2 linked regions of the Arabidopsis thaliana genome follow. The protein of the gene in region 1 interacts with the protein of each later gene in a biochemical or structural test. Each region holds a gene or a part of one and is shown on either strand. Other genes may lie near its edges. The genes, in order: HDA9 and AHL22.

The links.
Region 2: the proteins of HDA9 (region 1) and AHL22 form a complex in vitro, tested with the Arabidopsis thaliana proteins (one study listed by BioGRID).

The regions. Positions count from the first base shown.
Region 1 is NC_003074.8:16,228,350-16,232,277, reverse strand, and holds the start of HDA9 (histone deacetylase 9), read left to right. Parts: upstream 1-2,268; 5' UTR 2,269-2,525; coding exon 2,526-2,562; intron 2,563-3,205; coding exon 3,206-3,318; intron 3,319-3,439; coding exon 3,440-3,557; intron 3,558-3,630; coding exon 3,631-3,705; intron 3,706-3,779; coding exon 3,780-3,928. Other genes in the region: AT3G44690 (uncharacterized protein), read left to right, coding at 1-1,593. UniProt on the Arabidopsis thaliana protein: Responsible for the deacetylation of lysine residues on the N-terminal part of the core histones (H2A, H2B, H3 and H4).
Region 2 is NC_003071.7:18,725,351-18,729,278, forward strand, and holds AHL22 (AT-hook motif nuclear-localized protein 22), read left to right. Parts: upstream 1-2,153; 5' UTR 2,154-2,497; coding exon 2,498-3,451; 3' UTR 3,452-3,922; downstream 3,923-3,928. UniProt on the Arabidopsis thaliana protein: Transcription factor that specifically binds AT-rich DNA sequences related to the nuclear matrix attachment regions (MARs). Binds an AT-rich DNA sequences in the FLOWERING LOCUS T (FT) promoter.

The sequences.
Region 1 (3,928 bases):
AAATCAGATACTCTGGTAGACCATGAAGATGGCAGAGGTCGGAGGTATAGAGGAGTTTCCTTGAATGATAAAAAGGAAGCATACTTGCAATGTGAAAGGCAGCGACTCCTAAACGATCATGAAACTGACTCTTACGTCATGAGGCATCCCGATGTCAACAAATCAGATATTCTGGTAGACCATGAAGATGCCAGAGGTCGGAGGTATGGAGGAGTGTCCTTGAATGATAAAAAGGACGCATACTTGCAATGTGAAAACCAGCAACTCCTAAACGATTATGAAACTGACTCTTATGTCATGATGCCTCCTGATGTCAACAGATCAGATATTCTAGTAGACCATGAAGATGCAAGAGGTCTAAGGTATAGAGGAGTATCCTTAAATGATCGAAAGGAAGCATATTTTCAAAGTGAAAGCCAGCAACTCCTAAAAGATCATGAAACTAACTCTTTTGGCATGATGCATCCCAGTCTCAATAAATCAGATATTCTTGTAAACGGGGAAGAAGCCAGAGCTCTTGAGCGTAGAAGAGGATCCTTCGATGATGGAGAGGAATCATACATGGATTATAAAAGGGGGGATGCATATCTGCATTACGAAAGCCAACAACTTAAGAAAGATCATGACTATGGCATTGATGACAGGATATATCGTGATGTCAACTCGTCAGATATTATAGTAGACCATGGAGATGCCAAGGCGCTAGAGCTTAGGAGAGTAGCCTTCATTGATAGAAATGAAGCGTATTTGGATAATGAAAGCAAGGATGTTTATCAGCATTACAATAAACAACAACTGAAGTACTACGACTCTGGCATTGATGAGAGGATGTATCCTGCTGTCACCAAAGCAGAGATTGTGGACCGAGGAGGTGCTAGAGCTCTAGAGCGTAAAGGAATGTCCTCGAATGACGGAAGGGAAGCCTATTTGCCCTATGAAAGCCAGCAACTCCTAAGAGATCATGAAATTGATTCGTATGGGGTGATGCATCCTGATGTCAGTAGATCATCAGCTGGCAAGCAAGATGAGGAAGCTCTTCGAGGCAGGAGATATCTTTTTGATGACCGAGATCAAGTCTACTTGGATGATGAGCGTTTGCAACGACGTAATGGTGGTGATGTTAAAGTTTATGCCAATATGAGATATCAAGATGGTAGACAAGAGGTTTATCATTCGAATGATTCAATTTTGCGTACAAGAGATGATTATGGTCTTAGAGACAACGCAAGTGAGGTTATGCATGAGAATATGCCTTATGATTACAACTACAGGGATGCTAAGCAATCAAGAATGTCTTATGAGAAGGCAGATAGTAAAAGGTTCCGTGAACATGAAGTAGCATATGATTACAGAGACAAGCTAGGGAACTATGCAGTGGATGGAGGAATAAGCAGAGAACAATTCCGATACTCAGCTGATGAAAGGAATTCTGGTAATGTTGATCACACATCAACTCGACGCCGTCGATTATCTGCAAAGGAGCGGTTAGGTGGGCGTGTTGAAGAAGATTCACGTGTTCATGTGAAACATAGACTGCATCAGGTTAGAAACCCAAACCTAAAAGGTAAGTCCCATAAGAGGTACCTCTCCTGAGGTCATCATTTCTCTCAACATTGTTGATTCCTCCAAACAAGATTGAGAGAGAAAAGCTCCTAGGTTTTCAAAGGATGGGTGTGAAAACGAAGGATCCTAAAGTTGTAATCTCGGCTCTTTTTTGGTCTGAAAAAGGTTAGAAACAGATTCAAGGATTGAAGTTTTTTGGCAATGGAGGATATTATCTTGGTTAGTAGATATGCTTTCTTTTGGCGTTGAACTTGACTTTAAAATGTTGAGATTTTTGTCTGTCTTTTAGATTGTTTGGTCGGTGGTTTGTATCGACCTATCAATCAAGTAGACAGTGGTTACGAGACGTTGGTCTTTTTTGGTCTCTGGTAGTGACATTGACATCGGAGATCAACAAGTAAATAACTCAACAAGTTTATATAATCTAACAACTTCTTACTATTATAATCTCGAAATTGGTTTTCTTTCTCATTTTGATTGTGATCATTCCTTGGTCGAATTTGATTCAGTTTACATGTTTTGAAATTGAAGATGTATACTAAACCAGACAAGAGAAAGAAGAAGATATAACTAAATCGATTGATTTATATACACAGTATCAAATTCAATTTCGATTCGGTTCAAATGATGGAAAGCTACCGGTCTGGTATTATAAAACCATGAGTCAAAACCGCTTTTTATCAAATACACTTTAAATGACGTCATCTGTCATGTCATCAGAACACTAAAACGACATCGTTTCACTTTTGACTCTCCCCTTGTTCTTCTCTTCTCTCTTCTTCTTTTCGCTTCGTTGCTGCTCTCTTCTCGGCTCCGCCGGAGAATCGTGAAATCTCTGCGACTTCATCAATGAAGAAATCGTCTCATCTCTCTACTGAATCTAAGCAGACCTGAAATATCTCTGTATAATCTTTCTTTAAGATTGATTTCGTACGATCTTCGTGTCTTTTCTTCTTTAAGAGATGCGTTCCAAGGACAAAATCTCTTACTTTTATGATGGTATATTCATTTCTTTCCCTTTTCTTCTTTATTTATGGTAAAGAAACTCCAAAATCCTTGAGATTGATGTAACTCTTGAGCAAGTTTTATCCACTTGAACCGCACTAGTTTTTGTCTTTATTGCTCAATCGATGCATCGAAAGGTGAAATCTTTCATATCTATAGTCTAGAATAAGTAAAGGGTTACGATTAGTTTGGAAATACTCCAGAATTGAGTAGGGTTTTTGATGAAAAGAACAAGGGTTTTAGGTGAAGTTTCTGATTTTTTCGATTCTTTGGCCTGAGTTTAAGCTTAAGATAGAAGCCTTCTTGTGGTGAAGACGACTCTAGTACCTGTGAAGTTGACTTCTTTGATTGGTTTGGTCAAGTCTTTGTTATTTCTTTGCTAAAATATGAAACCCTAGAACTTTTGTTAAATTTGGCATTGCATATAATGTTTGAAATTGTGTTCTTTCGAGATTCCTCTCTGAGAAACTTTTATAGACTTGATAGTTATATAACTTTCATTTTCGTACTTCAGATTTTCTGCATGATTCAAACTCTGATGCGAGTTTCAGATTATATTCTTGTTGATGATTGGAGCCTTTGAGGCAGTTTATATGAGATTGTGATGTTATGCTGAATGTTTTTTTTTGGGTTGCAGGGGATGTGGGGAGTGTCTATTTTGGTCCGAATCACCCGATGAAACCTCACAGGCTTTGTATGACCCATCATCTTATCCTTGCATATGGCCTGCATAGCAAGATGGAAGTTTATGTTAGTGTCTCTTGCTCATCATATATGTTTCTTGTTTTTGTTCTTGATCCTTTTATTCTTTTTGTTTATGATATCACGGTACATCTCGATTGAAATCTGTATATGTTCTCTATTGTTTCAGCGTCCACACAAAGCATATCCTATCGAGATGGCTCAGTTCCATTCTCCTGACTATGTAGAGTTCCTGCAACGAATTAATCCAGAAAACCAGAACTTGTTCCCCAATGAAATGGCTAGATGTAAGTTTTGTGTCTTCATTAATTTGTTTTTGTAATCTACATGTTAAGCTGAAATTAAGTTACTGTGTTGCAGATAATCTGGGAGAGGATTGTCCTGTCTTTGAAGATTTGTTTGAATTTTGTCAACTTTACGCCGGCGGAACCATAGGTAAATATACACAGTTGGTATTCATGTTTGCTTGTCACTTTAGAGAAACGACTGACCGAGAATTTTGTCTATAGATGCTGCACGCAGGTTAAACAACAAACTCTGTGACATTGCTATAAATTGGGCGGGCGGGTTGCACCATGCCAAAAAATGTGATGCATCTGGGTTTTGCTACATCAACGATCTCGTGCTAGGAATTCTTGAGTTGTTAAAACACCATCCC
Region 2 (3,928 bases), on another chromosome or scaffold:
ATACATATTTGTACCAAAAAAAACATTTAAATAAGACAAATAAAGTCGAAAACAAGAAAGTAATGAGAAGTACTGGCAGTGTCAAACACTTTTTGAGATGTCTTGTCCGGAGAATGTTACATTGGTGGGGTGAGAACAAGAACTGAAGAAGCTTACATATTTTGGGAAATTTGACAATTTTGACATATTTTAAGGTAATCATTTTGAGTGGTGAACTTTTGTGAAAAATCACTCGTTGGTGACCAAAAATATTCCCCATCGTGACGTGAAAGCCACCCTTCTGAACTTCAGGCATATCTCTGAACTGAGTCAATGTTTTAAGTAATTTAATTTACCATTAAATGAATCCTTCACGCGTGTCAGCGGCTGCACGTGCGAGTGTGAGCTGGTCCTCGCTGGATTGTCTTGTTACGTGAAGGCATCGCAACCGACGGGGACAAACATCCAACGGCGTCTGACGCGCCTGTTATCTTCTCTTTCCTCCACTTCCTGTCTCTTTAGTTTTCCCCCAAGCTTACGCGATTTACGAGCTTGAATCTGCCTTATCGACCCAACATACACAATTAATCTCCGAATATTATACTATGCTCCTAGAGTCCTAGTAGTAGAAACTTACTTTATGCTAAAAAGCCACAAGCAAAATAAAGGAATCGGCTGAAAATAAAGGAATTTAAGCCAGTTCTTCTTGAAATGTTTAATTGGTAACTTTCAAACTGGTGCAACAGCTTTCATAATAATTTTAAGGAGTTGAAAATTTAACGTTTCCACATTCTTTTAGTTGAGTTAGACAATGAATAAAAATTCAATCTGATGTTGATGGTGTATTTTATAATTAACGACCAATTGATGTTGTGTAAACACAATCATTAATATACTACTTCGTATACACAATTTTCACTTTGATGACTAAAACCATGTGATAGTAGAATCGTTAAAATAAAAGAAATTTGTGATTTTTAAATAAATTTAAGTACACAGAGACTATATACATTAAAATTTGATTTAGTAAAACAACAGTATCCATATTCCACAATATATAATAGGCACAGTACTATGTGTATAATTTTTTTTCTAAAAAAAGCACAGTATGTGTATATATAATATATATATATATATACATATACAATTAAGTGGTTCTGATAGATTTTAAGTGAAATATTTAAAACAAGTTCTGTCATTATCCAACCACAATAACGTCTCTTCTTCATAATTTCAGCTTCTTTTCTCCAATTCAACTCTTTATTATTTGTCACTAACTTTTATGCACTTTAATTAATCTTAACGTACACATGTAGTATATTATTAAAAGTATTTTTGTTCATAAAAACAATTGTATGATGTGAGAACAAGAAAATAATTAAATTTGTTCTGCAAACAACCCCCAACGAATCCTCTAAAGTCTAATGTATGCATCATGCAATCGGGATTCATAATGGTCGTAAAAAATTTCTTCTTTCAACGCAAATCGAAGTTTATGATACGTAAACGCAAAATTAATACTGATACTCCTCAACACAGTATACTTTTATTTTATCACTAAGTGACGTTTAAAAGTTTAAACGAACTATAGATAAGCTGTAAGGTTTATCCTACCCACTTTATTTGTACTGTAGAGTTTAACTTTTTCTGTTGCTCTATAAGTTTTTGAATGTGTAAATTGTTTTTTTTTTTTTTTTTTATGTTCTACCGTTACATCGAGAAACATAATATAATGAAAAGACTCGTGACTGTTTGCTAAAAAAATAAGACTCGTGAATTGATAAAATGTAATTAAAAGACCGTACATTAAGGCATGTACCACCTACAAAATCATGCATATATGCATCAGTTTCATCATGAGCTTCATTTTTTTTTAATTAGTATCCTTTGATCAGATTTAATATAAGACTCGTGCGCTTCAATTTGTGTGTCCATTATAATGTTTGATATAATCTCACGCATCCATGGACTATCTAGTAAACCTCATCCAATATTTTCATAGACTAAAAAAGAAAAAAACCTTATACTTCAAATTTTCAATTAAAGGGAGACGAAACACAACTGAAAATTATTACACAACTAACAAAGAGAAATATTTTTAAAGAAAAAAATTGTAGAGCCCACAAAGTGATGCAGTAGGTAGGACCCACACACCGCCCATGCGGCACGCTGTCTATCTAAACCAAAACTAACCCATTCATCATTCATCTTAACCTTAACCTCCTCCTCCTCTCTGACCTAACCCTAAACCCATCTCTCTCTCCTTCTTCTTACAAGCTTCATCTACATGTATTACTAGTGCAGCTCCAGTTTCGTCTTACATGTATATGACTTTTGTATTACCCTTCTCTTAATTTCTCTACTTCAGATTTTTTTCTCCTTAGATTAATTTAATTGAGTTATTGTACATCCCTCAAGCTAAGATTCTGGTTTTGTGAGTTGAGTGGATGAGAAGAGGAGAGATTAACTAAATTAGGGTTTCAATTGTTTACTTTTTGTTTGCTTTTTATATCAAGTAATGGATCAGGTCTCTCGCTCTCTTCCTCCACCTTTTCTCTCAAGAGATCTCCATCTTCACCCACACCATCAATTCCAGCATCAGCAGCAGCAGCAGCAACAGAATCACGGCCACGATATAGACCAGCACCGAATCGGTGGGCTAAAACGTGACCGAGATGCTGATATCGATCCCAACGAGCACTCTTCAGCCGGAAAAGATCAAAGTACTCCTGGCTCCGGTGGAGAAAGCGGCGGCGGAGGAGGAGGAGATAATCACATCACGAGAAGGCCACGTGGCAGACCAGCGGGATCTAAGAACAAACCAAAACCGCCAATCATCATCACTCGAGACAGCGCAAACGCTCTCAAATCTCATGTCATGGAAGTAGCAAACGGATGTGACGTCATGGAAAGTGTCACCGTCTTCGCTCGCCGTCGCCAACGTGGCATCTGCGTTTTGAGCGGAAACGGCGCCGTTACCAACGTTACCATAAGACAACCAGCTTCAGTACCTGGTGGTGGCTCATCTGTCGTTAACTTACACGGACGTTTCGAGATTCTTTCTCTCTCGGGATCATTCCTTCCTCCTCCGGCTCCACCAGCTGCGTCAGGTCTAACGATTTACTTAGCCGGTGGTCAGGGACAGGTTGTTGGAGGAAGCGTGGTTGGTCCACTCATGGCTTCAGGACCTGTAGTGATTATGGCAGCTTCGTTTGGAAACGCTGCGTATGAGAGACTGCCGTTGGAGGAAGACGATCAAGAAGAGCAAACAGCTGGAGCGGTTGCTAATAATATCGATGGAAACGCAACAATGGGTGGTGGAACGCAAACGCAAACTCAGACGCAGCAGCAACAGCAACAACAGTTGATGCAAGATCCGACGTCGTTTATACAAGGGTTGCCTCCGAATCTTATGAATTCTGTTCAATTGCCAGCTGAAGCTTATTGGGGAACTCCGAGACCATCTTTCTAAATCGCGAAGAAAAAACAAGTTAGATACGTTCGTTGTTTTTAATTTATAATCTCTCTTCTGTCAAGTTTTAATTTTCTTTTTCTTCTTCTTTGTTTTCTAAAGATAATTGTAGTCTTTGACGAAGATTCGTGGTACGTATGAATCGAAGAGAATCGTTTTGGTCATGGGATTGATCGATCTATTAGGTTTGAGAGGGGGTTTGTGTTTTGCGTTGACTAGCAGATTATAAAATTGTTGATTTTCGAGTTTTTATTTTCATGTGTTGGTGATAATTAGCTTTGTGTCTATCTATGTATGTTGAATTCTAGTGCATAGTTATTATATCGTTGAAAGGTTGTGATTAAGGTTAAACAGGTCACTAACAATGTCAAATTGTTATGTTCTTCCGTTAGATTTTGGGTAATAGGTCAAATGAATTTCTTCAAGTCCGTTACTGCTGATTAATCAAACTCTAAACTCATTTTCCAAAATCACGTT